Linked DNA regions of Tamandua tetradactyla. The protein of the gene in region 1 purifies or fractionates together with the protein of each later gene. This does not show direct contact. Links are inferred from orthologs where the notes say so. Each region holds a gene or a part of one and is shown on either strand. Other genes may lie near its edges. The genes, in order: CD9 and IGSF8.

Evidence for each region.
Region 2: the proteins of CD9 (region 1) and IGSF8 purify together in Homo sapiens (affinity purification with mass spectrometry; 5 studies listed by BioGRID and IntAct, counting the BioPlex papers as one, with this or other methods). This does not show direct contact. The link is inferred for Tamandua tetradactyla from reciprocal best matches to the Homo sapiens genes CD9 and IGSF8.

What each region holds. Positions count from the first base shown.
Region 1 is NC_135333.1:68,453,339-68,469,205, forward strand, and holds the start of CD9 (CD9 antigen), read left to right. Parts: upstream 1-8,577; 5' UTR 8,578-8,742; coding exon 8,743-8,808; intron 8,809-11,086; exon of another isoform or gene 11,087-11,210; intron 11,211-15,867. UniProt on the Homo sapiens protein: Integral membrane protein associated with integrins, which regulates different processes, such as sperm-egg fusion, platelet activation and aggregation, and cell adhesion.
Region 2 is NC_135330.1:13,135,343-13,151,350, reverse strand, and holds IGSF8 (immunoglobulin superfamily member 8), read left to right. Parts: upstream 1-9,740; 5' UTR 9,741-10,511; coding exon 10,512-10,602; intron 10,603-11,952; coding exon 11,953-12,330; intron 12,331-13,014; coding exon 13,015-13,476; intron 13,477-13,875; coding exon 13,876-14,283; intron 14,284-14,543; coding exon 14,544-14,957; intron 14,958-15,267; coding exon 15,268-15,383; 3' UTR 15,384-15,394; intron 15,395-15,473; 3' UTR 15,474-15,873; downstream 15,874-16,008. UniProt on the Homo sapiens protein: Member of the immunoglobulin superfamily (IgSF) that links tetraspanin-enriched microdomains to the actin cytoskeleton and plays several important roles in innate and adaptive immunity.

The DNA.
Region 1 (15,867 bases):
GTAATATTTAAAACACGAAAAAAGCAAGTGTTGACAAGGATGTGGTGAAGTAGGAATGCTGGTGCATTGCTAGTGGGAATGTAAATGATGCATCCACTATGGAAAATAGTTCATCAGTTCCTCAGAAAGTTAAGTATAGAATGGCCATGAGACCTGGCAATCCCACTCCTAGGCATGTACCCAAAAGAATTGAAAGCAGGGACTCAGTCAGATGATCATGGCAGCATTACGCAAAATAAACAAAAGGTAGAAGCAACCCAAACGCCCAATTTCAGATGAATGTGGTTGTGTTCATACCACGGAATATTATTCAGCCATAAGAAGGAATGCTACAGCATGGATGAACCTTTCCAACATTATGCCCAGTGAAATGTCAGACACAGCAGGACAAATATTGCATGATTCCACTTATATGATATATCTAGAATAAGCAAATTCATAGAGACAGAAAGTAGAACATAAATTACCAGGGACTGAGTGAATGGGAATGGGGAATTATTGCTTAAGGTTACAGAGTTTCTGTTTTGGGGTGATAGAAAGTTTGGGTGATAAAAGGTGGTGGTGGAGTCACAACATTGTAAATGCAATTAATGTCACTGAATTGCACACTTAAAAATGGTTAAAATGACTAATTTTATGTTTTATTTTTGTTACCCTCCCCTCCCTCACACACACATAAAAAGCAAATGAATGACTGAAAACAAACAAAATATCTAATTACTTTATTTGCCCCTTGATAGAACTGTTTCAGGACCAGCTCAGGCTGAGCTGGATAGAAATATGAAGCAAAGGGCTAAACCCAAGGCTGCACCAAGTTCTCCTCCCAGTGCTTTCCCATTCCTCCAGGCGTGTGTCTGCTGCCCTACAAGACCAGCCCAGCTGGGGCCTCTGGGGTTTCTGACCCCCTGCAGCCCTTCGCTGCCCTAATCCTTCCCTCTCACTCTTGCAGTCAGTGTCCACCACATCCTACATCCCCAGTGAAGAGACAAACTCCTCGTGAGGAGGACCAGGCTCTGGCTTGTCCTAGGAGCCCCACAAGGCCTGGTCCCCAGTAGGTGTTTGGTGAATGAGTGGTGAGCAAACAGAGAAGTGAGCAGGTCACAGCCCACCCAGCAAAGACACTCGGAAGACAGAGAACTTATTCTTCAAAGAGCAAACCATGCTCATCCTGCTCAAACTCCCCAAACTGGAGGCCACTGAGCTATTTTTTCCCCCAGTATCTAAATATCTTTTTTAACTTTTTATTGCAGCAACCAAGAAGGAGCACAAAATTTCACATTTTAATCACATTCAAGTGGAGAATTCAGTAGGATTACTCTATCCACAATATTGTGCCACTTAGCATTTTATAACAACCCAGGCCATTGCCCCATCCTGAGTCTAAAATTAAAACAGGCCTGTAAGAGCCCTTACAGTTTGTTAACCACTCCTAATACCCATATCTCGTTTACTGTTAGCAACAGTAAAGTAGGAGTTTGTATAAAGCCTATTTTATGGATGAGGAAACTGAGTCTCAGAGAAGTAGAGTCATGTTTCTGGGGTAAACATGCACTGTGGCTTTGAATTGTGACATCGAATTCCAAACCCCAGGCCATTTTCTCATTGCTTCTCCACCCTGGTATGCTGGAACACAACACACACACACACACACACACACACACACACACACACACACACACCAGAGCTTCTGCTGCCCCTCCTTAATCCAGATCAGCTCCCAGAACAACCAGGGTCAGCAGTCATAGAGTGGACGGGAGCTGCAGCTGCTACAACAGGGCCAGCATTGCACCCCACCATGCAAAGGGCATGGACCCCAGCTGTCCCCACCCCACGTGGTGGCAGGACAGCCATAACGCTCCCTGCTCTGCAGCTGTGGAAAAGGGGGTCCAGGAAGGAACAGACACTAGTAGCGGCAGGGCCAAGGTACAAACTCACCACCTCTCATCAGCCCTGAAGACTCAGAGAGTGAGCTTTCTGGAAAACACCTTGTTCTAGTTTGCTAGCTGCTAGAATGCAATAGACCAGAAATGGAATGGCTTTTTAAAAGGGGAATTTAATAAGTTGCTAGTTTACAGTTCTAAGGCCAAGAAAATGTCCCAATTAGAACAAGTCAATAGAAATGTCCAATCGAAGGTATCCATCCAGGGAAAGATATCTTGGTTCAAGAAGGCCTATGAAGTTCAGGGTCTCTCTCTCAAGTGAGAAGGCACATGGCGAACACAGTCAGGGCTTCTCTCTCGGCTAGAAGAGCACATGGCGAATACAGCATCATCTGCTAGCTTTCTCTCCTGGCTTCCGGTTTCACGAAGCTCCCCTGGAGGCATCTTCCTTCTTCATCTCCAAAGGTCTCTGGCTCGTGGACTCTCTGCTTCGTGGTGCTGCAGCATTCTCTGCTCTCTCTGAATCTCCCATTCTCCAGAACGTTTCCTCTTTCATAGGACTCCAATAAACCGATCAAGACCCACCCAAATGGGTGGAGACATGTCGTCACCTAATCCAGTTTAACAACCACTCTTGACTAAATCACATCATCCAGGGAGATGATCTGATTACAGTTTCAAACATACAATATTGAATAGGGATTATTCTACCTTTATGAAATGGGATTTTGATTAAAACATGGATTTTCTAGGGGGCATACTTCCTTTTAAACCAGCACACACCTTCAAGATGGCATAAATCCCTAGAGGTCACCTGCAGCCCCCTCACCCCCCTCCACCAGCAAAGGACAAAAAAGGCAAAGAATAGTGCCACAGTAGCAGGCCCACTCACACATGTACACTGCCCCCTCCATGAGGCAGGTTAGTACCTGAGCTCTGGAGCCAGGTCACTTGAGTTCAAATCCTGCTTCTGCTGATTTCTAGTGAGTTAAGTTACCTCTTTGTGCCTCAGTTTCCCCATTTGTAAGTTAATAAGACTATCAACTCCATAAGGTTGGATTAAATGGGTTTATACACAGCAGTCAGAACAATAACTGGTACATCATATATGCCCAATCGAGCATTAGTTCTTTAGACATTTTCTTATGTAGGGTTTGGAAAGTACCTACAGAAACAACAGGATTTAGTAATCCAGTTAGGAAGAATGCTTTCTTTTTTTTAAGATGCATGAAACGGGCTATTCAGGACAATATCTGACAAGTCTAGCAGGTGATTCAGAAAGACATCACTGCATGCATGCAAAGAGAGATGTGGTCAATTGAATCATGTACCCCAAATGAATCAAGGCATTCTCTTGATGTTAATCTGTGTTCCTGTGGACTTGGACCCATTTATAAATAAGACATTATTTTATTTAAGGTGTGGACAACTGAACAGGGTAGGTCTTAATCCCTATTCCTAGAGGCCTTATAAAGAGAAGAAACCAGAAGCCAGAGGAAGAGAAGGCTACAGGGATAAGCAGAAATCATCCAGCAATCCATGAAACCTTCATAAAATTCACACTATTCATAGGTTGTTTCCACATTGACTGTACACGTGATCGAGCCAATGAAAAGAAGTTATGGGTGAGAGCAGAGCAGCCCAAGGCAAGACAATCCCACTGAGTTTGCAAGGCAATCAGGCCAATGATGTGTGCAGACTGGCCAGGTGAATGGCAGGGATACAGGAATGAGGTTGGGTTGCAAGGACCTGGCCCCATCATAAGTGGTGGCAGGAGGAATGAAACATGAAGAACTAATACTGGGCTTGGAATCAGAAGACCTGGCGTCCGATCCTTATTCTTCCACTAAATCACTTTATCCTGCTTTGGCTTGGCTCATCTTCATATTGGACAATTTACGCAGTACCTACCACAGTGACGCGAGAGATTCCAAGGAAAGAAAATCACATTGTCTAAGCATGTGTGAGACTTAGAGGGATAGGAAGGAGTCACAGATGACTAGAGGTTTTGAGGCTGACTGATGGGAAAATAGGGGTATGGGGACCAAAGAGAAAGAAAGTCAGCTTCGGGTATAGGGAGGTCCCCAGAGATTATGAGTTCTGATCTCAATGTGTATCTTCTATAATTGCATTACTTTCCTATTGCTAGTGTAACAAATTATCACAGGTTTTAGCACTTTACAGCGGTGCAGGTTTATCTTAAAGTTCTGAACCTAAAATGCGTCACAGAGCTGAGTTTATTCCAGTGGCTCTAGAGGAGAATTTGTATCCCAGCCTTTTCCAGATTCTAGACACTGCCCACATTCCTTGGTACATGGTCTCAAACTTTTGCTTCCTTTACATTCCTTCTCTAACTGACCTCCCCGCCTCCTTATAAGAACCCTTGTGATTTCTTCGGGCTGATTGGAGGTGTACTGGTTTGCTAATGCTGTCGTAAAGCAGCATCCAAAAATGCAATGGCTTTTATAATGGGAATTTATTATATTACAACAAACAATTCTAAGGCCATGAAAATGTCCAAATTAAGGCACCAATAAGAGGTTACCTTCACTCAAGAAAGGCTGATGTCATCTGAAATACCTCTGTCAACCGGGAAGGCACATAGCTGTGTCTGCTGGTCCTGGTTCCTGGTTCGTTGCTTCCAGCTTCTGATGACAGTGGTTTCCTCTCTAAGCATCTCTGAACCTTCACTTCATTCCTCCTGGACACAACTCTGGGTTCTGGCTTACTTAGCATCTCATGGGAGGGCACATGGCAACGTCTGCTGGGCTCTGCCTGGGTCTAGGCATCTGCTCTCTCTGTCAGCACTCCAAGCATCTCCAAACATCCATGTCTCTGTCAGCTCTGAACCTGACAAGAGTCAGCTTCAGCTCCAAGAGTTTGCATCTGAGATTTCTCCAAAACGTTTCCCCTTTTGTGGGACTCTAGTAAACTAATCAAAACCTTGAATGGGTGGAGTCACATCTCCATCTAATCAAAAGGTCACACCCACAATTGGGCATGCCACATCTCCATGGAGATAATCTAATCAAAGTTTCCATCCTACAGCATTGAATCAAGATTAAAAGAAATAGCTGCTCCCACAGGATTGGCTCAGGATTAAAACATGGCTTTTCTGGGGTACATAATGATTTCAAACTGGCACAGGACAAATCCAAGAAAATCTTCCCATCTGAAGATCCTTAACTCATTCATATCTGCAAAATCCCTTTTGCCGTGTAAGGTAGTGTCTTCACAGGTTTCAGAGACTAAGAGGTGGACATATTTGGGGGACCATTACCCTGCTTACCACAGTCACAGGAGGTCATTAAATTAGACGTGTCTAACAGACCCCTGAATATCATGACTTGAGTTTAGAGAGGTCAGCTAAGAAGAGAAAATGGTGGGAGGCACAAGAGGGGATGAATGCTTGAAGAGAAAGCTGACAGAGAGGAGCAGAGAGCTGAAGACTAACCCCTAAGGAAGAGCCAACACCTTCCAGTTATTCCACAAGCATTTACAGAAGGCCTACCCTGAGCCAATAAGGGACTAGGGTAATACAGAAATTAATCAAATGCAAGTGGACTCTAGAGAAACTCACCACCAAAATGTGTATACAACAAGAGAACACGATCGAGGTCAATGAATCCTGGAGGGGAGAGATTCAAACAAGGTAATTCATGGAGGAAAAGATTGGAGTGTTCAAGGAGGGCTTCATGAAGAGATAACATTTAAACTTAGTAAGAGGAGCAGCAAAGATGCTTCTAGAACAAAGGAAGTGAGGCAATGATGTAGCACCAGGAACACAGAGCAAGAAGTGTCTAGAAAGAACAGATGGTCAGCAGGGTCAAATGCTATGGTAGCATGAAGGAGAAAGCAAGCCCCAGATGACCACTGAATGTGCTGGTAGGGAAAACCTTGGTGGCCTGTGAACGTGTAGTTCCTGCCTGTTGCCTCACAAAGCCATGTTCCACTGCTGCAGGGATAAGCAGTCCCAGGGAGATGGGTGTGGCTGGTCAAATCTCACCACCAGGGGGCACACAAGAACCAAAGCGGGCCCTTAGCTACAAGGGAGTGGGGTTGGGTGGGGTGCCAGTTTCCAGAAAGAGAGGAAAAGTTTTCCCACTCCAGCATCACAAAGCCTGGAAGGCCTTGCTGCCTCCATGTGATCTCTGACTCAGGGGCTTACCCAGATTTTCCTCTTCCAGTTGAAGCAAACCAAATTTTTTCCATCTTTCCCTTTCTTGGTTGCTGTAGCAATAAAAGCCTATAACAAACACCTTTTGGCCCAGAGTCTTACCACACATGGAATGTCAGAATGGAGGGGACCGCCTGCACCTCCTAATCCAAACACTCATCAGAGAGCCAGGAGAGCAGACAGAGGCCCAGAGAGAGGTGACTTGCCCCCAAAAAACCAAAGGGTCTCTTCACTCCCAATCCAATATCCTTATCACATTAGAGAGACTCCCTTGAGTAAATGCAGTCTGTTACTTACTTGTAGACCACCCCAATTGCTTCTTGAGTATAAAATAATATCAATCCCCAACAGTTTTTGAGCACTTCTCTGCCAGGCACTACTATACCTTCACGTGGGTTAGTTACCTCATTGAGACGATAGAAGTCGCTTCTATTCTAAGCATAAACAATTACCCAACTCCTCCCATTTGTGCTTGTTAATGCTGTTTAGAGATAAACAAAGATTTACAAAGATAAAATATTTTCTTTCCTCAGACTGTTGTCTCTAGATCGGTGGACTTGGCTGAATGCAGTACGGTGGAACATTATTTTCCTGTCTATCCCACAGTGCCTCAAAGGCTGCTGTGTGTGAATGATCCTCAGTGGATGCTAGATTAACGTGAGTAACTGAAGTAAAAAAGCATCACTAAAATTCCTTCTGCTTGACAACTTGTAGCATCAGGTTCAATGGAAGAGAAACCTCTTTTCCCTGCAAACTGCCCACTACTGGTAGCTTCCCAAGGGCAGCCAGCCAGTGTGTGGCTTCATGCCTCTGTGCCTTTGCACATACTCTTCCCTCCACCTGGAATTCTGTCCCCCACTTCATCTGCTAAGCCACCTTCTAAAGTCAGCTGCAGTGTCCAGAAGCCTCCTCTGATTCATGCAGACTTGGAGCTTGGGCCCCACTTTTTCCCAGGCCACCTTTTCCCCAAAGTCCCATGGGTTTGTACTTGTCTGTTAATGGGTCTCTCCCCCTTGCACTGGGATTCTTCCATGTGGCATAGAGATGGTTAATCTCAGTATCCTCAGCATGTGGCACACTATGTAACACAAAATAGGTTCTCAATAAACATGAGTCCTCTTAGTCTCCAGGTTCTCTATGACTCCACACACCACCCTCAGCACATTGTCTGGCTGTGGGTCTATCTCCCCACTAGACAGATCCAAATCCCTTCTTTCAGCTCTTGCATGTAAAAAGTAGATACCGAAAAATGTTTTTGAATGGATGAATGAATGAATGAATGAGATAAGTTTTTAAATAATACTACAGAGTAGAATAAAAGATACAAGTGCTAACCACGCCCTTTCTGGCAGGTGAAATTAAAAGTTATGTCCTTTCCCTCCTCGTTTTTTTCCTGATGTTTCTGTAAGGATCATGTTTTGCTTTCATAGCAAGAAAACACTAAAGGAAGTGTTGTTTTGAAAAAGAAAAAAGTACAAGGAGATTTAGGGCTCAAAAAAAATGGGAGGGGGGAATCTCATCCGGTGGAGAGAATCAGAAAAGGGGCGTGTATCTAAGGAGCCCTAGAATTTCTACAATGGAAGAGGGGAGGGCCAGCGGGCCACAATACATCATGTGCGGAGCTGGGCCACGTGATTGCAGAGTAGGGTGAGGCTCTGGGTTGGGTGGAATGGAGGTATTAAGCCATGGAATGTGGGGTACTCCAGAAAGCTCTTGAGCAGAGGAGAAGCATGCTCAGATCTCGGCTTCTGGAGCATTAAAGAGGTAGCAGAAGACAGGATCAAAGAACAAGGCTTGAGAGGGAGGGTGGGATGAAGGAGTCCAGGTAAGAACCAACACCTGGTCAAAAGCCTCTCTCTTCCGCTTTCCAAACCAGCCGGTTTGGGGCATCGAAACCACACATCCAGGAAGCGCCCCCAGACTGCCCCAACCTTCAGCCGTGTTACTACCCGGAGACTGATATTTGCTCATTTCCATAAACTTCCGAGCTGTCTTCCCACCTAGACTGCAAGCCCATAATTCCTTTTACTCCACGGTAATGTGCCAAATAAAAGTATGCTCAGTGAGTGAAAGACTGCCGGGAACCGCCCAAGAGAGAAATCAAGCCAGAAAGTTCCCTTCATATCGAGGCCAAAGCAGTAAAAGCTTTTATTCAGGTGGCAGCCAGCCCTGGATCAGGGGCCTTTAGAGCAGACGACCTGGTGAGTGTCTCCCGAAACAGAGAGCTCGAGCGGGATGCCCAGAGTCAACACCGGCAAAGCCAAGAGGGAGGGAAAAGCGGAGGTCTGGGAAGACCTCAGGACTGTTGGGAGGAAAGCGGAGGAAGAAGGAAGATAGCTGGAAGAAGGGTTCGGCCCACTCAGTGTAGAGAGCGCTGAGCCGGAGGAAGGAGTGCAAAAAGGGAAGGGGCGGCTGGGACGCGGGCCTGGTGAAGCCCGGAGCAGGGCGTGGGCGGGGCAGGTAAGGGGCGGGGCGGGCGGGCCGGGAGGCGGGGTCTGCAAACCCCCCCCGCCGCACATGCGCACCGCACCCGGCCGGGCGCCGTAAGGAGTGGTACTTTTTAAAAGTGCAGCTCCGAGACCCGCTGGCACCCGCTAGCACCTCTGCGTGACGCCCGGTCCTGCCAGTCCCAGCGGCGCGCGACCCCGTCCCACCAGTCCGACCCAGTCCTGTCCAGTCGGCACCATGCCGGTCAAAGGAGGCATTAAGTGCATCAAATACCTGCTCTTTGGATTTAACTTCATCTTCTGGGTGAGTGAGCCCGACTGCCGCACGCTCCTCCTCGGGCTCACCTGTTCCCGGGTCCTAGGACGCGCGTCCCCGAGGGACACTGTCCGCGGCCCAGAGAGCCGGCAGCTGGCACTGCCCGCGCCGGGCAGACACCGAGCAGGAAAAGAAAAGACCCTGCGGCCGCCAGCTGGCTTCTCTGCGGAGTCCCGAGACGGGTGGGGCGCGCACGTCGTGGGGAGCTCATCCGAAGGCGAGCCGGATGGGGGCAAGGGAGGTTGCTGGTGGGCTGGGGCTCTGGAGACCGATCCCGGCCCTCTCCTTCGCTGGGGGGTTTCGGCTGGGGTTGTGTCTGCTCCCACCCTGAACCCCTCCTGGCAGAGGAGGGGAGGGCGGCGGGGAGAAACGGAGCACCCCTCTTCTGGGAGCTCAAGGTCCCTGGCCAGGGAGGACCGTGGCGGGGGCGGGTGGTGGGTAGGGTGCGGTTCGCGGCCGGAGTGGAGTCTCACCAGTGGTCGCGACTCGAGGAGGGGCAGATGCGGGCGCTGGGAAAGACAGGGGTGGAGCAGGGAGAGCTCCGCCAAGTCAAAGTTGGCGCGTTTGTGCTGGAGGGGAAGGGGCACGCCGGCCGGGGGTGTCCGAATGACAGTTGTCACGAGGTGTTTTTCCGACACTTCCCGGATGGGCAACAAAGGGGGGCCACAACCCCTCCCACCTCGAGAGGCACCTCGGAGGCCCCCATTTTTCAGACTTTAGCGCTGAGCCACCGTGAGAAAGTCCGAGCTCCCTCAGAGCTACTTGAAAGACGAGCTGGTCTGGATTTTTTTTTTTCCTTCTTTTTTCAAGGGCGATAAGTATCTTAACTGGTGAGACCTCTAGGAGAGTTGGGGAGAGGAGGAGGGGAAGATCCCTATCCGGTGCCTCTAGCCCGAGTCCGGTATTTCTCCATTTCCGGTTGGTCGGGATCAGGTGGTGACCTCGCCCCCTCCTCCGCCGCCCACCCATTAGCAAGGCGGGGCCACAGTGCGGCTCACCTGGAGAGCGCACTCGGGTAGGGCGCTCCTGGGACACCCACTGCCAGCCACATTCAGCCTGTCTGCAAATGGGACTGCCCAGGGAAACGACAGAAAAGGAGAGCCGCTGCTTCACACCTTCCCTTAGGGGATTAGGGAAGCACACAAGGACAGAAGCAAGAAATTGGGACTTTTGTGTCCTGATTCTGAGGGCCACATCCCCTGCACACAGGGAGACAATATTTGCCCCTCTGAGGACAGGAAGAGGGTTGGAAAGGCTCGTCTGGAGAGCCCTACCAGCAAGAGGCTTGTGATCCCCATGGAGCTGGTTGCAGAGGTCCCCACAAATTACTAGGCAAATCTCCTAAGATTTCATCCTGGCCCCTGAGCTGAAAGGGTGGTAGGAGAGCAGTTCTCCAGCCTGCAGAGACTGACCTTCCCTTTTAAGAGTCACTACATTGGTGCCGCACACACCCTAATAAGGACGGTGCAAAAGTATGCCCCTGCCTGCAGTCTTGGTCTTCTCTTGGGAGTCCCTGCCTGCAGTGGGTGCCCCCTCCTCCTCCTGCTCCTGTCAGTCCCTGTGGCTGGCCAGTGGCTTGGCTTTCTCCTCTCACCAAACCTCTGGCACCAGAAAAGAATGCTGGAAGAAGGCCACCCTACCCCACCCATGTCCTTTGAGGAGACTTTTTCTCTTTTTCAGTACTGTCTATTGGTCAACCCTCAGCTAACTGCCTAGGCCGCATCACGGTTTAAGGAGATGGAGAGAGACAGACATTCCAGACTGCCATGATGTCTCCATGTACCCGCCCCCCATCTGCCCAGGACCACTCCAGTATTGGCAGGCTCTTGCCTACTCACCCCAACCTGCCACCCACTCGTGTTTAGAGTTGCCGCTGCCTGGGCCAGGTGCTGCTGGTCAGCTATGGAGTCTGAAAGAGGAAGGATGCACTTTCAGAATGTTTAGGTTTAGAGTTGTGAATGGCTTTAGAGACCATCCAGTCCAGTCCTCATATTCCCTGTAGGAAGATGAGAACCAGAGAAGGATCTGATTTGGTCGCGTTCACACAGCTATCCAGAGACCAAGTCAAGGCCATGAGCCCTAGATCCCCTATTTCAGTCTGTCCTCCACCGTCACCATCACAAAATCAATAAGGTAATGGATTGGTGTAGGGAGGTGAGCTGCAACTATGTTGTCCTGAGTTAATTATTGTACTGTTACCATGTACTGGGGTCTCTGCAGAGAGTCAGCCCCTGTTCCCCAGGAGATGATGGAATAAAGGAATACTGTGATCCACGTGGACAGTGTTTTACAGGCTGCAAAGTCCTTTCTTTTCCAAAACCCATGATGTAGCCAGAGCAGGAAGCATTATCCCCATGCTCCTGTGATCAGGCAGTTGGTCTCCAGAGAGGGTAAGTGGCTTGTCCAGAGTCAAAGCAGACAGTATTAGAAGTTTGAATGCAGGTCTTGTTGGCTTCGAGTCCAGCACATTTTCCATCACAATGCATTGCCTTGCAAGCTGGGTTTGGATGCTGGGTGGAAATAGAAGAGTGGGAAGAGGCTCTCAATATCTTTTAAGGAAACCTATGAGCTTGGATTATTATGCTGTCAACACTTCCTTTTCTCTCTTGGGACCAAGAATTTTTAGATTTGTTGTTGGAACCAATGTGGACCTTGAGAAGTAGGAATTGTAGGGCCAGAGGCCAACTGATGCCTCATGAACAGAGAACACTGAGAGGAGATGGCTGGAGTGGGTGCTGTTTCCCAGACACGTCTCTCATCCTTACAGGATACTCAGTGACAGCCCATCCTGGGCTGCTTGCCCTCCCCAATCAGGCCTTTGATGCCCACAACCAAACTAGCAATCAGTCTGTTCTCCCAATGCCCCTGGAACACTTCCTTCAGTCCTCTCTACCCACCCACCCCCCAAAAAAGGTGGAGAGGAAAAACATCTTACCGGTATCAAAGGGATAGATCACACACATTTGTCAAGCTGTAAAATGGAAGACCAGGGCTAGGGACGTGTGCCCCATTCTATCTCCCATTCCCTTCTGGCCAATCCTAGGCCTCCTCAAGGTCAGGCAAGCAGCTGAGCTCCTCAGGGCGAAGAAGGGAGCATGGTGGCTGAACTGAGAGAGCTCTACCTCCCTCTGCTCCTATGCTCATTGCCTCTACCCCATATTCTCTCTCTCTGATAGAAATATTAGAGGTTTCTCTCTCTCAAGAAACAGGGTCTCCTGACCCCAACAGAGGCTGCTTGGACACAAGGACAGGGCACTGGACTGAGAACTCAGAGATCTGGATATTAGGCCAGCTCTGCCCCCTTCACCTGGAAGCCTTGGGCAAAGGTCGTTTTTATGCTCCAGACATCTCATCTGTCAAACGAACGGGTCAGAGCGAATGGTCTCTCAAGATCCCTTCAAGATAAGGATATGAAACCAACCCCCAGCCCAGCTGCCTACACAATGGGACTTTCCCACACCACCCTAAATAGGAGTCAGGAAACACAAGTATGCCATGAGTACTAAGGCTTGTCCTTGGAACTCAGCTTCACTTGAGAAGCCTTCACCTCCAAATCTAATTCTTGCCCCTCTTTCCTCTCATCTCACAGTTCCCCCTGTTCACCCTGGGTGGAGTCCCTCTGCTTAGGGGTTCCCCATAAAGAGACACCATTTCCTTATTTTTCAGATGTTTGTGGTAGGACAGACCGAATGAAGCTCTGGGGATTACTAAATGCACAGTAAACTTGTAACCGATTGCTGCTGGTTTTTATTGGTTGGGGCAGTGAAGAGGGGAGGGAGCAATTCCCTGAGGAGTGTGGAAGTCTGAACCCCAGGTGTAGCCAGGAGCACCTCCGAACCCACACATTTGCCTCCCTTCTTTTCCTTCTCTCCCTGCACCAGTGCTGGCCTCACTCAGGCCACCCCTGTCTCTGCAGTGCCCACATCAAAACACTGACTCCATTTCATGTGTGCTACATGTTTGACTGTGTGGTGGCTCTGTCTGAAAATAGAACTGCATGGCAGAAAAGCCCTAAGACATCAGGATTCTGGATCTGGGCAGAGTATGAAGTAGGTGGGGGACAGGGTTGCAGAAAGGCCCTGCCCCCCAACCTGCAGCTCCACCCAGAAGCTGGTTGGGGCAGAGCAAGTGGCTAGGACTGTTGCATGAAATGGCTTCCCTCTGGCACGCGGCAGGCCTGAGCTGGCAGAAAAGCTGGCTATTTGTACTGCGGCTGGCAGGTTTAGGAGAGGTGAGGTGAGGCCAGGTAGCTTCATCTTCTGAGGAAAATACAACTTCTCTCCTGGCCAGAGGCGTTATGGTTTCTCCCCACCCTCCTCCCCAACACACAACCTTTTCCCATAATGGTTGTCTAAAGTACAGATCTGATTCCTGACCTTTTTCCACATGAGGGGAGGTTCTCTACACACACATGCACACACACACACACACACACACAAACCCCACCCTTTTCTTTCACAGTGGCCCACAGCATTATCCCAAACCCTGCTCTTTTGTGCCCAAAGGAAGTGGCTCTTGGTTGAGACCCGAATTTGGAGCTACTTTAATAAGGCCACCTTCCCAGAGCCCTTAATCTTCTAGATGAGGCTTCTGTGGCTCGAGACCTCACAGATCACCCTTCTCACACCCTCCTTTTGGTAGGAGCGTTAGACGTGCATCTTCCCCCTTATACACAGAACAAAGCACTTGTGTTTGTTTCTTCTGTTCTCCTGTCCAGTTCCATTTTATAAGGGGGTGTGGCTTTTGGACTGGGTGGCACAGTTTGGAACTTAATAATACCTCGGATTTACAAAAGCACCTTTTCTTCTAAAGAACACAGGCCAGATGCAGTGCCTGTCTGGCTGCATCTGGCCATGACGGCAAAAGCTCTGAGGTCACTGGGTCTCCTTGGCTTCTGGGTCCTGCTGGGTCCCCCTGGCTGGAAGCGTGTTCCCAGGTAGACTGTGGGGTTGGGGGAAAGAGGGTGAAGTCTGGTGTCGAGTGAGTCTGGGCTTCTCTCCAAGTCAGGCTGCTTCGTCTTCCCTCCTCCTTAACCAGGCTGATTATCATCTCCTCAGAAATCTAGATCCCCCATAGTCCAGGGGCAGGACCAGAGAAGGCCAGGCTGAGCCTTCTGGTCTCCTTATTTATTTCTGCATAGTTACGTCCTGAGTGCCACCCTCCCCCAGGGAGGCATGAAGTGGATTTTATTTGGACCTACTGTGGGTCTTTGCAACCAAAGCCTTGAAGAATGGTGATGATTTCAGTATTTCACGATTTGAAAATTGGGATAAGACCCTGTAGAGGCTCCCTGTAGGAACCCCAAACCAGGAGAGATCCTTTGCAACTGAAGGAATTCAGGAGACCAAAATGGCTAATCTTAATATAATATATATTCTTTAATTTATATATTTTTAGTCCTAACTACAGCTCACTTGCCTGTTTCATTCTGTGGAAAAAGTAATGCTGGTCCAGGGACATTTTCATTTTCCATCAAATGATGGCATGCAGCTGTTGTGGAAAGCTTCATCCTGCCCTAAATAAAATAATTTTATAATAATTACACCCATCTGGTAGTTTCCCTTCCCACTCACCCCATCCGAACCCACCCCACCCCCACCCCAAGAAAAAATCTAGCTGTGGATAGTTTTTAAGCACCATATGTCGTCATCTTGGTCTAGTGGATCTTAACCTTTTAGGGAATTTCACGAATCCAATGAGGCCTACCTCCAGGAAATGCCCATTTTATTGCCTTTTTTCTGGGTTTTCCTCCATTGGTGTCCAGACAACCCCTTCTGGGTTCTGAATTCAGTGTTTCTGCCCTGAGAAGCAGGCTGCCTTGCTGTTTGCAGGGGTGACATGGGAGAATTATGAGGGAACTTCGAGAAAGGCATTACAGAGTCTGAAGTTCCTATGATGGTTGCAAGCAGCTGAAACGGGAGGTCTGGCCTCCCCACCCATCCTCACTCTGACTCTACGCTTCATCGTTGCCCAAGGAATAGCTTTGAACTCTCGATTAATTTAATGAGTTTTGTCCTGTGTTTCTAATCTATATGAGGTGTCCAACTTTATGAGCTTCCAGCCAAGTTTTGCCTCTTAGGTTAGGTTTTCCTCTAGCTTTTTCCACTCCCAGTCTGTTCTCTGTGTTGATGCCCTGATGCAGAAATAACACAATGCAGGGAACATAGGTTTGTCTTTGTTCGGGAACAGCAACATTCTGACGTTCTCTCCTTCTTCCCACCAAATGGAGACTGGAAAGCTCAGCCTGACCGGTTCTGGTCCTGCCCTGAAGACTATGGGGAGGGAGAAGTTAATGTCTCATGGAGAATCGTTTGAGGATTTGGACTCCTAAGGAGAGATACAATAAGCATCCTAGTTAAGGAGCAGGGGGAGATGAAGTAGTCTGACTTGGAGAGGGACTCAGAGCCATTTGATTCTAGGGAAGGGCCCTGGGTAAAGTGGATTGGGGACTACTGACTTGGAGAAAAGTGAGAAACTTGGCTTTAAGGGGCCTTCTTTTCAGTCTTCTTGCCAGATAGTGTGCAGGCAAGCAGAAATGGTAGCTCTTGTACTGTTAGAAAAGTTATCATCCAGAGCCCTCCCAGTGCACAACCAAGCTTCCAGTGAGCTCCCCTTGGGCCGTTAACACAAAGCAGGGATCATAGGAGAAACTTGGGGTTTTAAACACCATGAAGTAAATTGAATAGTTTTACTGGATTCAAACCAGATTTCTATAATATTTTCATTTATTTTTAAAGTCACATCAGTTAAGTCAATAAGATAATAAATGATAACATTGACTTACGTAAATTTTAAATCAAAAGATCAGCATGTTTTCATACCTATTTATGAACTCATTACTTTCCAAGTCCACAAAAGTTCGGTGTTGATGGTATATTTACAGATTTTAATTGAAATCCCTTTTCCCCGTCTGTGTGTGGTGCTTATATGCCCATGCACCTCAGCTCAGCGCCCCCTCAGAGGAGTGCCTTAGGGGTGGGGGACCCACCCACACCTCCCTCACCTGCACCTCCTACCCTGACAGAGGAATGTTGGAGAGATGAGATC
Region 2 (16,008 bases), on another chromosome or scaffold:
CTGGCTGCTGGTTGCACACCAGCACACTTAGAAGGCTGTGGAGTTCAGAGCGAGAGGTGGTTCTCAGGTGGAAGAATTAGGCCTTCGCACAGCACAGGCCATTCTGGGCGGTCCTTGGCAGACAGGTAGGATCTGGCTTGAAGAGGCAAAGGAGAGCATATTCCAGGTACAGGGAACTATGTAAGCACAGGCACAGAGGGCAGGAGCACCCAGCACACGGAAAGCGGACGCCAGAGCTAGAAATGGATGTTGGAGGCATTTCACAGAGAGCCTTGAATGCCAGACTGAACGCTATTCTAAATTCCAGCATTTCCTAAAAAGTTCCAATGAAAAGAGTCACCAGGGTGCTTGTTAAAAATAGAGAATAGCAGGCCTGTCTCTGAGAAACTGGTTCATGGGGGCTGGAGTAGGGACCAGGGAGCTGCATTTTTACTGCCCAGCAAGTTTGAGAAACATCACCATGAACAACATGGAGCCATGTAAAGTTTCCAAGCAGGGGAGTGATCTCATTAAAATGCAGCCTCATTTGACTGCAGGAAGGGAGGATGTTAGACTGGAAAGAAGTGATGGGTAGGAGGCTGTGGCAAGAATTTGGCCAAGAGGTTAAAGGTTGGAAGGAAGAGAGTGGCAGTGGCAGTGAGAAAGATCTTCGTGAGGTAGAATTTCAGGATCTGATAACTGTTTGGATATGGGGATGCAGGAAAGGAAGGAGCTGGAGATGGGAGCATGGTGGTGACAAGTTAGCTAAAATAAGGGTATGGAAGAAAGAAGCTTGTCTGGGAGGGAAGTCACAAGTGGGCATTGAGGCCTATTGCGTTTGCGGTGCTCCTGGCAGGGCGTCCAGGTAAAGGCGTTGGGTGGGTGTTAGAGAATGGGCAGCTGGAGCTTGTGAGTGGGGAGGGGCTGTGGGAGTCACCTACACAGAGGAGCATGAAGGAGACCCCCAAGGGAGAGGAGTGAGGGGGGGACAAAGGGCCCAGGGCCTTGCACAGACCCTTGGGCAACCCTACACCAGGGAAGAGGAAAAGGCGTTGGACGATGGGGAAGCAGACAACCAGCGAGATGAGAGAACTTGGCCAAGTAAAGGGCCCTGGAAGCTGAGTGAGGAAAAAGTTTTAAAAGGGACAGGAAACTAACAGCCCCAGATGCCGCAGAGAGGCCAAAGGGAAATGACAATTGACTTTTGGTCACTTTATTTGTCATTTCAGAGGTTACTTGTGTAACCTTTGAGAAAACCATTTTCATAGAGTGTTGAGTTTGGAAATAGGACTGTGAAGGGTTAAGGAGTGCGTGGTGAGGAACCTGAGGCAGGGATATGGGTTGCCCATTTTCAAGAGGGCTGAAGGAAATGGAAGGAAGAAAGAAGATAGCAGGTAACCCCTCCCCTGCTCTCCCCTCTCCTCCCCCCGCCCCATCTCCCTGGTCTCTGCACACATGCCCCAGCTTTACTCATAGTGAAGTACAGTGATATATACTGTTCTAGTTTGCTAGCTGCAGGAATGCAATATACCAGAAACAGAACGGCTTTTAAAAAGGAGAATTATTAAGTTGCACATGAAACTGTCCAAATTAAAGCAAGTCTACAGAAATGTCCAATCTAAGGCATCCAGGGAAAGATACCTTGATTTAAGAAGGCCGATGAAGTTCAAAGTTCCTCTCTCAACTGGAAAGGCACATGGCAAACATGGCGACATCTGCTAGCTTTGCCTCCAGGCTTCTGGTTTCAAAAAGTTCCCTGGGGGCGCATTCCTTCTTCATCTCCAAGGTCTCTGGCTGCATGGGCTCTCGTGGCTCTGAAGCTTTTTCCAAAATATTTCCTCTTTTAAAGGATTCCAGTAAACAAATCAAGACCTACCTGGAATGGGTGGAGTCACAGCTCCCTCTAATCAAATGTTAATACCCACAATGTGCGTCACATCTCCATGGAGATAATCTAATCAAGTTTCCAACCTATAGTGCTGAATCGGGATTCAAAGAAACAGCTGTCTCCACAAGATGGCTCAGGATGAAAACACGGCTTTTCTAGGGTACATATCCTTTCAAACCAGCACATGTACATTCTCATTTCATCTGCACGACAACCTTCAAAAAACGACGAGGCCGGTGCTATTATAATTCTTATTTACAGCCAAGGAAACCAAGGCTAGAGAAAGTCAGGAGCAAGGTCCAGGCCACACAGTGGGTAAATAGAAGTCTGCTTGAAGCCAAAGCGTGCCGTCTGGTGTTGGAATCCCAGCCCCAAATGGTTGACTCAGTTGGGACCAAGAAGCTTCCATTTCATTTCCTCACCTGAGCTCCGGATTGGTAACCTGCCTCATGTCCTAATTTTTAGGTTTGTTCTGTCCAGCCCCCTTCCCCCAGGAGCTCTGGTTCAGGAGGTGGGATCCTCCATGCCAAGGGTCTTTCTGAAGACCTGGAGTGAGCACGCCTGCTCACGCGGACTCACCATCACTCTGTCCTGCCAGGTGGGTGGATCCATACACACCCTGTCACTTCCCAGCCACGCGTGTCTTCCCTACGTGACCATTTACACTACACAGAGGCAGCGTGGCAACACGGCTAAGAGTTTGCGCTATGGAGTCGGAATGCCAGGTTATGACATCCTAAGTCCACCATTAATTAGATAGATTTTTTAGCTTCTCTGACCTTCAGTTCCTTAACATCTCTAACTCAGAGAGTCATTCTGAGTACAAAAGTGCTCAGTGATGGTTAGCTACCATCCTTGGTTTCCAATGTCCTGGCCTTGGGACTGCAAGTTCCTTGTGTGCTGTCTGTGATCACCAGCACTCTCCCCTCCTCAAAGGACAGACCTCATCCCTTCCCAGGCTGCCCAGGAAGCCAGACTCTAAAAAGATGTTTCCACCAGCTATGGACGGAAATGACCAGAATCAGATGGACTCCAGAGGGGACTAGTGCCCACCATGGAGGTGTTTTAGCCACCAGAGAAAGGAGTAGATTCCCTCTCTTGTCACTCACTCACTTGCTCATTCTCGCTCACTCTCTCAGCAAATATCTGCTGGACTTCTGCTCCTTGCCAGGCACTGTGCTAGGCATGGGGGCAGAACAGAAAGGAGTTCAAGTAGCCTTGAGTTGCTCCCAGCGGAGAGAGGCAGATGTAAACAAACCTTGTAATTACAATACAGAGTGGGAAACTCTGTGTTGTAGGCAGAGGCCCGAGGTCAGGGTGCTGGGCGGGGCGGGGAGGGAATCTGTGCTCACACTCTCTCCCGTGGTGAGCTCCTTCACCCCCACTGCTCCATCTGTTTCTTTGTTTTAGTAGTCTTTATTTCTGGCTTTGTTGTTCCGTCACTTTCCTCACAGAGAGTCTTTGGAAAAATTCCACCCTTGTTTCAGTTGGACTAAGGGAGAGGAGAATCGTCCACTCTTTAGCCAGAATAGCCAGAGGGTGCCAGATTCCTGGGGAGTGCAGGTGCAGACAGGAGGGGGGCGGAAAGAGCCTGCAGCGCTGGGGCAGGAAGGGGTGAAAACTCAGGAGGAACTGAGCTTGGCTTCCAGAGATGAGGTGATGCCCCCCCAAGACCTCCCTCCCAGAGCTCCACCTCACCACCCCCTCCCCTGTCCTGTGCTCTCATCGGAGAGAAGAGTCAAGGCACTCTCCCACCTCAACCCACTCTCACCCCAGCTCCATTCCTCCTTCCCCACCCGAGGCACCCTCCAGGGCTGGGACCCCAGAGTTAGAAGTGAGTCTTCTATATCGTTTGCAGCAGAGGGCTGTATGTGTGTGTAGTGTGTACACGCGTGTGTAAGTGCGCCCAACCATCAGACAGTTTCAGCCCCAGGCCTCCAAGGTAAATTTAGTAAACGGGGCTTTACTGTCAATCTCCCTTCATTCCCCCTCCCCCCATTCCACCATACACACGTGCAACCTCTGCATTGTTTCCTCTTTTCCTGGGACCCAGCACTGCATTCATTCAACAAACATATACTGGAAATCCGCGATGTGCCAGGAGCTGGAGATACATTTGTTATTTCATAAGTTTGCAGAGTCACCAGTTGTGTGCGTGTCTGTGTGTGTGTGGGTGGGTGGGTGGGTGGATGTGCATATGTGAGAAAGTATGAGCTGGCTAGAGAAGCAAGAGGCAGAAGAATCTTAAGAGCTTAAGTTCAGGAGTCAAACAGCTTGGGCTTGAAGGCAGGTGCTACCACTTGCTAGCTCTGTAGCCCTAGGTAGTTTATATAACTATCTGTGCTTCTGTTTCCTCTTCTGTAAAACACAGATAATAATAGTACTTAGCTCGTGGGGTTGCTGTGAACACTGAGTGAGCACGTGCCGAGTGCTAAGAAGTGCCTAGTGGAGGGTAGGTGTTTGGTAGTATTAGTAATTAGTGTTGCTTCCCTCTCACCTCACTCGGAGCTGGGTGCAGACAACCTGTAAATGACCCAGCCCCCGAATCTGTCTCTTGCTCAGCCTTACTGACTCAGAGGCAGCAGCTGTGCTAACCACCTCCAGTCCCCCACAGCTCCTCGCATCAATCACCCTAACACACCGATGCCTTCTCCTGCCCTCGACTGATCCCCGAACCCCAGGCTCGGGGAGAAGTGAAATCACACTGTGTGGACTGCCTTGGCCCTGTACCACCCTCTAGATGTATATCTGCACCGTCAGTTCCGTCTGCCCTGGCTGGGACTGGAGGAGAGGGATGGGGAAGCACCTGGGGTGGAGCCCAACCTCCCAGCCCGATGGGGCTGGGGATGGGGGAATTCATCAGGGGAGGGAGGCCAAGGGGGTTCTGGCTCAGAGGGACCCATCCCTGGCATTCCAGAGTGGGTGGCAGCTAACACGAATCCTGGGCATAGGATTCCTCAGAGGTCAGGGCCAGGCTGGGCCTCTGATTCCTCAGAGGTCATGGCCAGCAGTGGCACCATGGCACCCCATCCTTGGATTGCTGTGCCGTCCCCTTGGCATGGGGGTTGTGAGCTGGGGCTGGAGAGTAAGCTCAGCCAGGGCAAGAGGTGGGTTCAGGGAGTAGCTACACACACACACACACACACACACACACACACGAGTCCACCGGGGAGGAAGGAAGGAGAAGATCGAGTGTGAATGTATGTATGTGCATGTGTGTGAAAGGGATGGTTTGTGGTCCTGTGAGCGTGTTTGGTGTGCACAGGTCTGTGTGTTTATCTTCCTGTGTGCCTGGTCCCCAGGTGTGCACCTCTGTTTCTGCAGGTTCCTGCTAAGCACATGGTCAGGGTGAGGGCAGGTTTTTGGCTCTACCTCAGCCTCTATTTCTTCGCCTGATCCTCTCAGCAACGCAGCAGAGAACCTTCTCCCTGTGGGAGGATGGGAAAATATGGCTCATCAGGGCAGTACGGGTCAAGGCTTTATAAGCACACAAAAATTACAGGTCATTCTCGTGTGTGATCTTTAGCTCCCCACCAAGCTGGGATTTACACATATTGGGAAGAGAAAGCTGAGTGTTTCAGGCAGGTTTGAGTCATTTCTATACGTCTGTCTGGTAGTATGTGCCCCTGTTTATTTGACGGCGTTGTCACCCTGTCTCCAGGGCCACACCTGCCTCCGCAGCTCAGCGTGTACTTGTGTGTGCTGTGTCCATGTTTAACTTAGTTTCCAGTGATGTTTATCTTTGAGAAGCAGGATAACAGGGGTTAGAAACACATAATCCACAGACAATCCTAGGTTCAAATCCAAGTTTGGGCAATAATGAGCCCATTAATGTTGGACAAGTCCCTTAGCGTCTCAGGGGGAATATTAATAGCACGAACCTTACAAGGTTCTGGTGAGGACTTAATGAGGCTGAGTTACGTACTTGGCACAGGTCAAAAAAAGTGCCTTATCTATGAAGGTGTCCCTCTCTCTGATAGCCCTGTCTCCATGGCAACCGTTAACTGTGCCATCTCAGCCAGATTAACTGCTTTGGGATACAGAGTTGGTCTAAATTATCTTTAGCGATAGTCATGCCACCTCAGTACCACCTCAGCGCCTTGTACACACATGATCTTGAGGGGTAATGAATTAAAATAAGCATGTGAAACACAGGACGAGTGTCCGACGTATGTGCACCCCTGGCAGTACATGGAGGGCAGCCAGCAGCTGGTCACTGCACAGTGACAGCCCAGCGCGGCCACAGTTGTGTTCCCCATGGTTGCTGCTGCACCCCCCCTCACCCCCACCCCCCACTGACTTTCTGCAAGCCCGGGTCCCCTGCCTGCCTCGTGGCTCTGCCTGGCTCGAAATTCACTGAAGACTTCCCTCCTCCTTTCTCTGCTCATCCCACTGCAGGGCACCGACCTGGGTGCTGGGTAAGCCTGTGGTGCTTTTTAGGGATGAAATGGATGGGTCCAGGGGTGCCCTCATGTCTACACCACATGGTCCTCCTTTGCAGCCTGTTCAGGGTTTTGTATGCATATATGCATGGCTCTGTCGGAGTGTGTGTGTGTGTGTGTGTGTGTGTGTGTGTGACGTCTTTCTGTGCAAAGCCCCTCTCCTTTACAGTCTGGGTGTGTGTGACTTGCCTCGTGCCTGGCGTTGGCTCGCCTCCCCCAGGCTTCCCAGTTACGTAAGTGTCTGACTAGTGAGTCAGGCCTGGGCTCTGGGCTCCCCCTGCTGACGGTCTCTGGAACCCTCCGTGCGCACAGGGGCGTGTGGAAGAAGCTGCGGTTCTCCCAGGCTTCAACCTGGCTGGAGACTTCGGCCCAGCCCTCAGCACCTACCTGTCCCTCCCAGTCCCAGGCCGTAGGATGAAGGATGGCCCCTCAGCTCCCTGAGCATCCCCTCTCGTAACAGGCAGGCTGGAGCTTGGTTATTACTTGTCCCCTGAAGGCAGGGGACCATGCTGGCCCTGTCTGCCGTGGCTTCTCCAGTAGCCAGCACAAGGCCTGGCCAGATCAGTATTTGTGAAATAATGGGTTTATAGGGTGGAGAGGGCTTGGGAAGCAAGACAAAGGGGTTGGAGCTTTGAGGACAGACAAGCCAGGTCTCAAGTCACACTTTGACCACCTACAAGCTGTGTGGCTTTGGGCAAGTTACTTAACCACTCTTAGCTTCAGGTTTCTCATTCGTTAAATGGCCTCATCCTGCACAATACCTAGTAAAGGCAAGAAAGAATATCTAAAAGGGCCTTTCTGTATATGCATTTCATAAATGGCAACTATTATTATTGCTACGACTGGCAATATCTCTCATTCTTTAAGCTTCAGGAAGGCAATAATCCACCTCAGCCCCCAAAGAAAGAATGGTTTTCTTCTAAAAACTTTCCTCTGAATTTCAGCTTTCACATAGCTCAATCTGGCCTGCAGATGATTTAGATGAAAACAGGTCTGGAGAAAGTAGGCTGTGAATATGTCAAAGTGGGAATCAACAGGTACTCTTCTGCCCTGTCCCTGCCTCAGTCCTGGAAGTATTGGGAGGGGAGGGCTGGATGTCTGGTTTCCTTTCCGGGTCTGCAGCACTCCGCCTAGAGCTCCTCCAGGCTCTCCAAGTGCTCCGAAAGTGGTTTCAAGAGGCAACTCCACAGAGCGCCTGCTCTGAGGCTGGTGCGGTGCCAAGTTCTGGGAACAGAAAGTTAAGGAAGGTCTGGTCTGGCCTGTGCACTTCCCCTCTCTGGGCCTGCTTCCTCCTCTATAAAAGAGGGGTGGATGGACAAAAAATGGGTGAAGGGTGGGGGCTGCTAGATGAGCTCACCCTTCCATCCACTGCCACCCTGACAGCTTTAGCTTTGTAGACCTGGCTGTCTCTTCCCACGATTTTGGCCCCACCCCTCCTACCCTTCCCCCTTCTCAATAGTTGAGGGGACCGAGCCCAGAGCCTCCTCTAATTCTCCCACCTCCAGGCCAGGCCCCATCCTTCCCAACGCAGGGTGAAGTCCATCCCTCTTCACCAGAAACAGAGACCCCTTCACCTCAGCCCCAGGCTTATCCTCCCCTTAGGGCGAAACTAAGCCTCTTAGGAAGCAGTTTAAATAGTGATTTAAAAAACAAAACCTACCTCCTATTTCGCCCAGTTGCCCAGTGGCAAGGCCTTTATGTGTATTATTCAATTAATCACGACCCTTCAGGGTAGATGTCCTCGACCTCAATTCGCAGAGGAGGAAACTGAGGTTAAAAGAGGCTAAGCAGCTTGACCAGGCTCACCCAACCGGGAAGCCACGGCGCCCGACGACCCACGCTCCCACCCACTCTCCTCTAGTTCTGCTCCCGGAGGGAGTGGCTGACAGGTCTCCCCTGACCTTCGGGACCCTCGAAGCGCCCTCTAGCTCAGACCCTTTAGGTTTCGGAACGCCTGAGTTCCCCCCATTCCCAATTTCAAGGTTTGCAGCGCGGCCTAGCGGCCCAGAGAAAATAACTGAATTCTAAGTGCGTGGCCACAGTCACCTCACCGACCCCCGGATCCCCGCACCCACCTCGCAGGGAAAGGCCGACAGGTGCGGGGTTGGGGGGATGCCCCCTGTGCGGGGCGGGTGTGAATGTGTTTGAGCCGAGGTGCCGCCAGCTCTGCCGGGCTGCAGCGGTAGCCGGGGCCTGAGGCTGGACTGGGCGGGGCAGAGGGCGGAGCCTGAGATGGGGCGGGGGCGGGGCGGGGCGGGGCCGGACGGAGGGGGCGGGGCCGGGCGGGAAGCGTCTCCGGGAGTTGCGGAGGGCGGGAGGGAAAGCAGTGGGAGGAGGAGGAGAGGAGGGGAGGAGGAAGGCGGCTTGGCCTCTGCCGCTCGGCTCGGCTTAGCTCACCCACGCCTCGCTGCTCTGCTTCGTGCCCCCCACCTGGGCATGCGCCCCCCGCGCCCCCGGTCCCCCCGAGCCTGCGCCGCCCCCCGGAGCCTCCCCAGAGCCGACCGCGCAGAATGGGCGCCCTCGGCCCCACGCAGCTACCCCCGCCGCCGCCGCTGCTGCTGTTGCTGTTAATGCTGGGTAAGCCGGGCCCCTGGCACCAGCTCGCCGGGCAGGTGCCTGCCAACGGCAGCCAGCCCGGCCCACCCTTCCAGCGTTTCCCCTCGCACCCGCTTTCTCCGTCGGAACACCTCCGGCCTCCCGGGGTTCAGTGCCCAGCTGCGCTGTGTGGCCGCCCGCTGAGGCAGTCTTGGGGAGGGTGAGAGCACCCCAGCTCTAGGCCCTGGGGCTGGGGCGCAGCGAGGACCCCCCCCAAAGTGCCGTCCCGAGGCAGCACCAGGCCTCCGGGGACCAGGCCCCACTTCTCAGCCGGCCTACCCAGGCCCTGGAATCTCTGTCCCCAGCTCAGCTTCAGGCGTGGCCTTGGGTGCTCGCCCTGTGTGGTGCCGGCCTATCTTCATAATTGCCCCCGAGTTAGCTGGAGGCCCCGGGGCTGGCTCTGCCCATGATCTTTGAATAAGTCCCCTAATTGACCCCCTCCCCACTTCATTATCTCAGATTGGGGCCAGTCCCCTCTCTCACCCCCTCTGCCCTGCACTGGGTCTCTCTTTGCCCCTCTTCCCCTCTCCCAGATGCCACTTGGTTTTGCAGCCCCTAGCTGGTCATCACACCCCTTAAAGTCTCAGCCTCCCGGCCTCAGAACCCAGGTCCCATGGAGACTGATCCTGGGCTCTCCAAGCACCCTATCTATTGTGGTGGGGTGTTTATGGTGGGATGTTCTGGACCACCCCTGAGTGGCAGCATGGAGGTAGTGACAGTGGGGTTGCTTTGGCCTGAACTGGAGGGCTCCCTGTAGGAGGTGAACTGGGGGAGGAGTGTGGCATCATGAGGGTGAGGGGTGGGGTGTTGGTAGCGGTGGCTCCGGTGGCAGGATTTGGAGCTGCCCTAGTCGAGGCAGACACCTAGCCCCAGCTGCCTTTTCCTAGTTCAGAGCTCCACAGCAGCCCTAAGCTGAGTATCCACCTGTCACATAGGGCCGTGGGCCCTCCATGGCAAAGAGGAGTCCTCTCCATGGAGCTCTGGGACCAAAGGCAGGAGGGTGTACAGAAAGGAAGGCGCTGCGGGGCCCTGTTGCCTAGCACAGATATCGTTTTTTCCCAGTGGGCAGTACAGTACAAAGAGGAGCCCAAGGGAGGTGGGGAAGTGTGATACAGAGAGATGGAAGAGGAGCCGGCCCAGCCCTGCGCATCCACCACATATGGCGCTGACATTCATTTCACAAATGGCGTCATTTCACCAATAAGGAAAATGTAACTTGCCCCACATACCATACCTAGTGAGAGCTGGAGTCAAATTTGAACTCAAATCAGTCTCTCCAGAGCAGGCCTCTTTGTTCTCCCTCCCCTCTCCTTGGTGGAGGAGAGGAGGGGACTTGGCTGGAGAGAGAGAACTACATGTGGCAGCTGGATTTCCTAAGGCTATGGGGGTGACTTTCCCATGGGGATCTCCAGGCATCAGCAGTTGTGGAGCCAGGAAGGTGGGAGGGAACCTTTCTGAGCAGAGTCTGCCCTAAGGCACTGGCCGGGGAAGTTATCAGCTCGGCAGTCTCTGCCCATCACCCTGATTATGAAACGTGCCTCAGGCAGGGCCCTCCTGAGTCACACACTCACTCACTCTCTGAGCTGGAGGCTCTCTGCTCTTCTCCGATGTGGAAACTGAGGCCTGGCAAAGGAAGGGACTGGCCTCAGACCATCCAGCTGGAGTCCCAATTCCCAGCCTCTGCTCAACCAACCAACCGTGAGTTTGCCCCAGTGACTCAGCCACAGGAAGAAGGAGCCAGCAGGCTGGCTGGGGTAGGAGAGGAAGTCAGGAGGAGCTGCTCTGGGTGGCGGAGTTTGACCACAGACTCGTGGCATTGCCCTCCATCCCCTGCAGAAAGGCCATGGGTAACCCCCTGGAAGGCCTGGAAATGAGACCAGTGGTGAGGTCAGTCCCCTCAGACGTCGCCTTGGAGTCTCCCCTTTTACCTCCCTGGACGGGCCTGTCGAAGTCACCCAGGGGCCCTAGGATCTTGGCCCAAACTATATAGTTCTCTTTCCTTACCTTTCACATCTGTAAAATGGGGGAAGGAGGCTGACCTTACATTCTGGGTTTCTGTGATCCTCTCTAGTGGGGGCTATGGAAGGATGGTAAGACAGGAAAAAGAACCTGAGCCCTCCAAGGCTGCCAGGACTTTCTGCCGGGGCTGGGTAGAATGTGGAGATGGAGTTAGGGTACAGATGCAGGGTTTGGCCCCTCTGGGGAGACAGATGCCTGTCTACAGAAAGGAAGCCATATGTGAGTGAATGCCCACTCTATGCAAATGTAGGCTTCCTTAGAGAGTTGAGGGGTGGGGGTGGGGGGTTGCCTTGTGCAGCTGGGCCAGCCTGCAAGGTTGGCAGTTGCTGGGGAGGGGATCGTCTGCCCCTGGAGGCCAGGGCAGAACCTATTTCTTGCCCCAGAAGCCCCAGATGTCTCAGCAGCCCTGTGGGGCGGGAGAAACAGTGAGCTCATGGCACAGCTGGAGGGGGAGGGCATTGTGTGCCAAGAGAATTGACTGGGTCTGTGCCCTGTCTCGGCTTGGGCCGCTGGCTCCATTGTCTGGAGTCTCTTGGCCCAGGTGACACAGTTGAGTCAACCAGCCCTTTTGAGCAAGAGTTTGTCAGCTCCCTTCAAGCAAGGGAGGGGAGACAGGTGGTCTCAGAATTCCTTAGCCAGAAGGCTCCTCTGACCAAGCTCTGGTGGAGTAATGGCAGACACTGGGGGAAGAGGGGAAGTAGGGAGTAGAAGTGGGAGGTCGGGGGTAGGCATAGATAGGTATAGTTGGAATTGCTAAGTCAATATCAAAGCTTCCCTTTCTGCCCTTAGGGACTCCGCTTCTTGTCTTCCAGAAATGGGTTTTGAGGCAAGATTGGGCCTGTACCCCTTTCTTGAGACCTAGGTGTCTTACCTCCCAGCATCCTTTCCCTGCTGTCAGAACAGGACCTAAGCTGTCTGCCAGTTACCCTCAGGTTTCTTTGCATTCATGGGCAGGGGTCAAGAATGGGTTGGCAGTGGTGGGGCTAGAATGGTGACCCAGGCACCCCCTTCTCCTGCCCTGCCCTACAGGAGTTGGATGCTCTGCCCGGGAGGTGCTAGTCCCCGAGGGACCCTTGTACCGCGTGGCTGGCACAGCTGTCTCCATCTCCTGCAATGTCAGTGGCTACGAGGGCCCTGCCCAGCAGGACTTCGAGTGGTTCCTGTACAGGCCCGAGGCCCCAGAGGCCGCACTGGGCATTGTCAGCACCAGGGACACCCGGTTCTCCTACGCCATCTTTGGGCCCCGCGTGGCGGCTGGTGAGGTGCAGGTGCAGCGTCTGCAGGGTGATGCTGTAGCGCTCAAGATCACCCGCCTCCAGACCCAGGATGCCGGCATCTACGAGTGCTACACGCCCTCCACGGACTCCCGCTACCTGGGCAGCTATAGCGGCAAGGTGGAGCTGAGAGGTACTGGGCCCTGGGTGGGGGGTCAGGGCCATACCACCCTAAAAGTAGATAGTCAGGACCAGGAGGGACTTGAGAGTTATCTAACCACCCCTCAGATTTTGTCCTGAGGAACCTGTGGTCTCAAGAGGTTATTTGACTTGCACAGAGTTCCCCAGCAAGTTAGGACTCAAATCCAGATCTCTTCATTCTGTCCATCGCTCTTATTGAGTCAGGGTACTTCATGGGAGGAGAGGTGTCCGTAAGCTGGTCAGTCCCTTCTCTAGTCCCTGTAGCCTGAGATTTGAATGACTCCACCCTGGAGATTCCTGGGGGGCGAGTGGGGGACAAAGTAGAGGTAGAGTAGGAGAAGTTAGATCATGTGACATTCTCACTTTCTTAAGTTTCTTTGTCTTCTGAGAAGGAAGACAGAGCCACTTTTTCTGGGTATATCAGAAAAATACTTGGAGGGCAGTCCGAAACAGAGTAAGTAGGATTAGGCTGGTTCTATTAAATTCAACAAGTATTTATTGAGCGCTTGTGGTGTGCCCAGCACTGTGCTTGGCACGTGTGGATTATGGAAGAAATACAGCATGCCATCTTTGTCCTCTAGGAAGTCACAGACTAGGGAAAAAGGTTGGATACACAGGAAACAGTAAGAAGAGCTGCTAGTTCCCACCCCTCCTTCACTGCAGCTGTTCTCTCCAGTTCTTCCAGATATGCTGCAAGTGTCTGCTGCCCCCCCAGGACCCCGAGGCCGCCAGGCCCCAACTTCACCCCCTCGCCTGACTGTGCACGAGGGGCAGGAGCTGGCACTGGGCTGCCTGGCACGAACGAGCACACAGAAGCACACGCACTTGGCGGTGTCATTTGGGCGCGCTGTGCCCGAGGTGCCAGTGGGACGAGCGACCCTGCAGGAAGTGGTGGGACTCCGTCCAGACTTGGCTGTGGAGGCCGGTGCTCCCTATGCTGAGCGCCTGGCTGCCGGGGAGCTGCAGCTGGGCAAAGAGGGGACTGATCGGTACCGTATGGTGGTGGGGGGCACCCGGGCAGAGGATGCAGGCACCTACCACTGCACTGCCACCGAGTGGATTCAAGATCCCGATGGCAGCTGGGCCCAGATCGGGGAGAAGCGGGCTGTCCTGGCCCACGTGGACGTGCAGACGCTGTGTGAGTCCCACAATCCACACATTCCAGGGTGGGCGCTGGAAGGGGATGCATCTCAGTGGGCACCATGGCCATTGGGGGTGCAAGAGGGCCACCATCTGACTCCGGGGAATCCGTCTGCCCTGGCCTGAGCAGCCCTGTTGGCATGACTTCCCTCTCTACCCATGATGGGTTTTCTCTGCTTAGAAATTGGGTGTGGAGTTAGGAGAACCATAGCTGAGGGATGAGACTCAGACCCCTGAATGGAGAAGGTGGTTATACGTGGAAGTTGGGGGACCCAGTGAGGGGCAGATGGGGGCCTCCATGTTGCCACTGTCAAGGAAAGAACTCTTGTTGGGGACTCAGAAGCCTCTGGCCCCCCTTCTGCCTCCATAATACCCCTTTCCCCCTCCTTTGTTTCAGCCAGCCAGCTGGCCGTGACAGTGGGGCCTGGTGAACGTCGGATTGGCCCAGGGGAGCCCTTGGAGCTGCTGTGCAATGTGTCGGGGGCACTGCCCCCGCCAGGCCGTCATGCTGCATACTCTGTGGGCTGGGAGATGGCACCAGCGGGGGCGCCGGGGCCTGGCCATCTGGTAGCCCAGCTGGACACAGAGGGTGTGGGCAGCCTAGGCCCTGGTTACGAGGGCCGGCACATTGCCATGGAGAAGGTAGCGCCCAGAACCTACCGGCTACGGGTAGAGGCCGCCAGGCCGGGCGATGCGGGTACCTACCGCTGTCTCGCCAAAGCCTACATTCGAGGGTCTGGGGCCTGGCTTCGTGAAGCAGCCAGTGCCCGCTCCCGACCCCTCCCTGTGCACGTTCGGGAAGAAGGTGAGAGGTTTCTGGGGGTAGGTAAGGGGATGTCGGCCCCTTGACAGCTTAGGTGCTTCTTAGGTGCTTCCTTCTATTTCCATGCCCTCTCTCCTGCTTTAGCCTTTCTCCCGTCAGCAGCTTCCATGCCTTAGGGTCTCACGCTCTTCTTCCGATTTTGTGGCAACATCCTGAGTTCCCTGGAGTATTGCTTTGACAGCAGCCCTGACCCCATGTCCCCTGACCCTTCACCCTCCAACTCCATGTCCTTTGTTCTGCAGGTGTGGTGCTGGAGGCCTTGGCCTGGCTAGCCAGAGGCACGGTGTACCGGGGGGAGACCGCCTCCCTGTTCTGCAACATCTCTGTGCGGGGTGGCCCTCCAGGCCTGAGGCTGGCTGCCAGCTGGTGGGTGGAGCGACCGGAGGAAGGGGAGTTAGCCCCTGCCCCTGCCCAACTGGTGGGTGGCGTGGGCCAGGACGGTGTGGCAGAGCTGGGGGTCCGGCCCGGAGGAGGCCCTGTCAGCGTGGAGCTGGTAGGACCCCGAAGCCATCGGCTGAGACTCCACAGCTTGGGGCCGCAGGATGAAGGCGTGTACCACTGTACAGCCGGTGCCTGGGTGCAGCACGCCGACTACAGCTGGTACCAGGCAGGCAGTGCCCGCTCGGGGCCTGTCACAGTCTACCCCTACATGCATGGTGAGTGAATCACCACCCTCCCAACTCCAAACCCCGGCTGTCGTCTAAGGCTCCTGCCACTGTCCTCTCTTTCTCATCCTCATCATTTTACATGAAGAGTCTGGAAAATCCAGCTTTCAGCCATCACTACCCATCTGCATCTGGGTCCTTTATGGTTGGCATGGACTTGGCTGCCGAGAGGGCACGGAGTAGGCGGGGGGGGGGGGCTTGGAGTGGGGAGGAGGTGGGTCCAGTGAACTTGATGAAAAGGATGGCAGGGGGTGGAGACAACGACGTTCCAGCCTGAACAGAGCTGTTCTCTCTTACCCAGCTCTGGACACCCTATTCGTGCCCCTGCTGGTGGGTACAGGGGTTGCCCTCGTCACCGGCACCACCATCCTTGGCACCATCACTTGCTGCTTCATGAAGAGACTGCGAAAACGATGATCCCTCCCCAGGTGAGGGGACAGAACGTCTCCCCAGCCTTGTCTTTCTCAGGCCTTCTACCCACAAGTCCTGAATTAGCTCTCCCTCCAGTCCCCCCCCGGAGGAGGAGCAGCCGCTCTCAGCTCTGCAGGGTCCTGCTGATGGGTGGGGCCAGTGGGGCACCCTGCAGAGCTCCTTCTCCTGAGCCCACTCCACGCTCTCCAGTTGCTGCAGGTGTCCACCGTCTTCCTGCCCAGCTCCACGCTCTCCTCCGGTTGCCTGGATACCTTCTCCCTTTGTTGGCCCTTCCCTTAATTTATTTGACCTATCCCCACCCAGAGTGGGGGACAGGCCCCAATTTCCCCCTCCTCTGCCCCCCACCCCCAAGTGGAGAGATCCCAAGCTCCTCTCTCTGGCCTTCTGCTCTTGATCTCATACCCATCCCATAGAGAGGCCATTCCCTGTCCTAGAATTGGTTTTTCTAAAATGTGAATAAACTTGTTTTATAAAATCCAGGACTGGCTGTGTCTTCCCTTGCCACGAGGCTGAAAAGTAGCAGGGAGGCTGTTAGGGGTTGGCAACCTATTCCGGACGACCCGGGCTTCTCTTCCCACTACAAACACCATCTGGCCGCTGTGGGCCATGC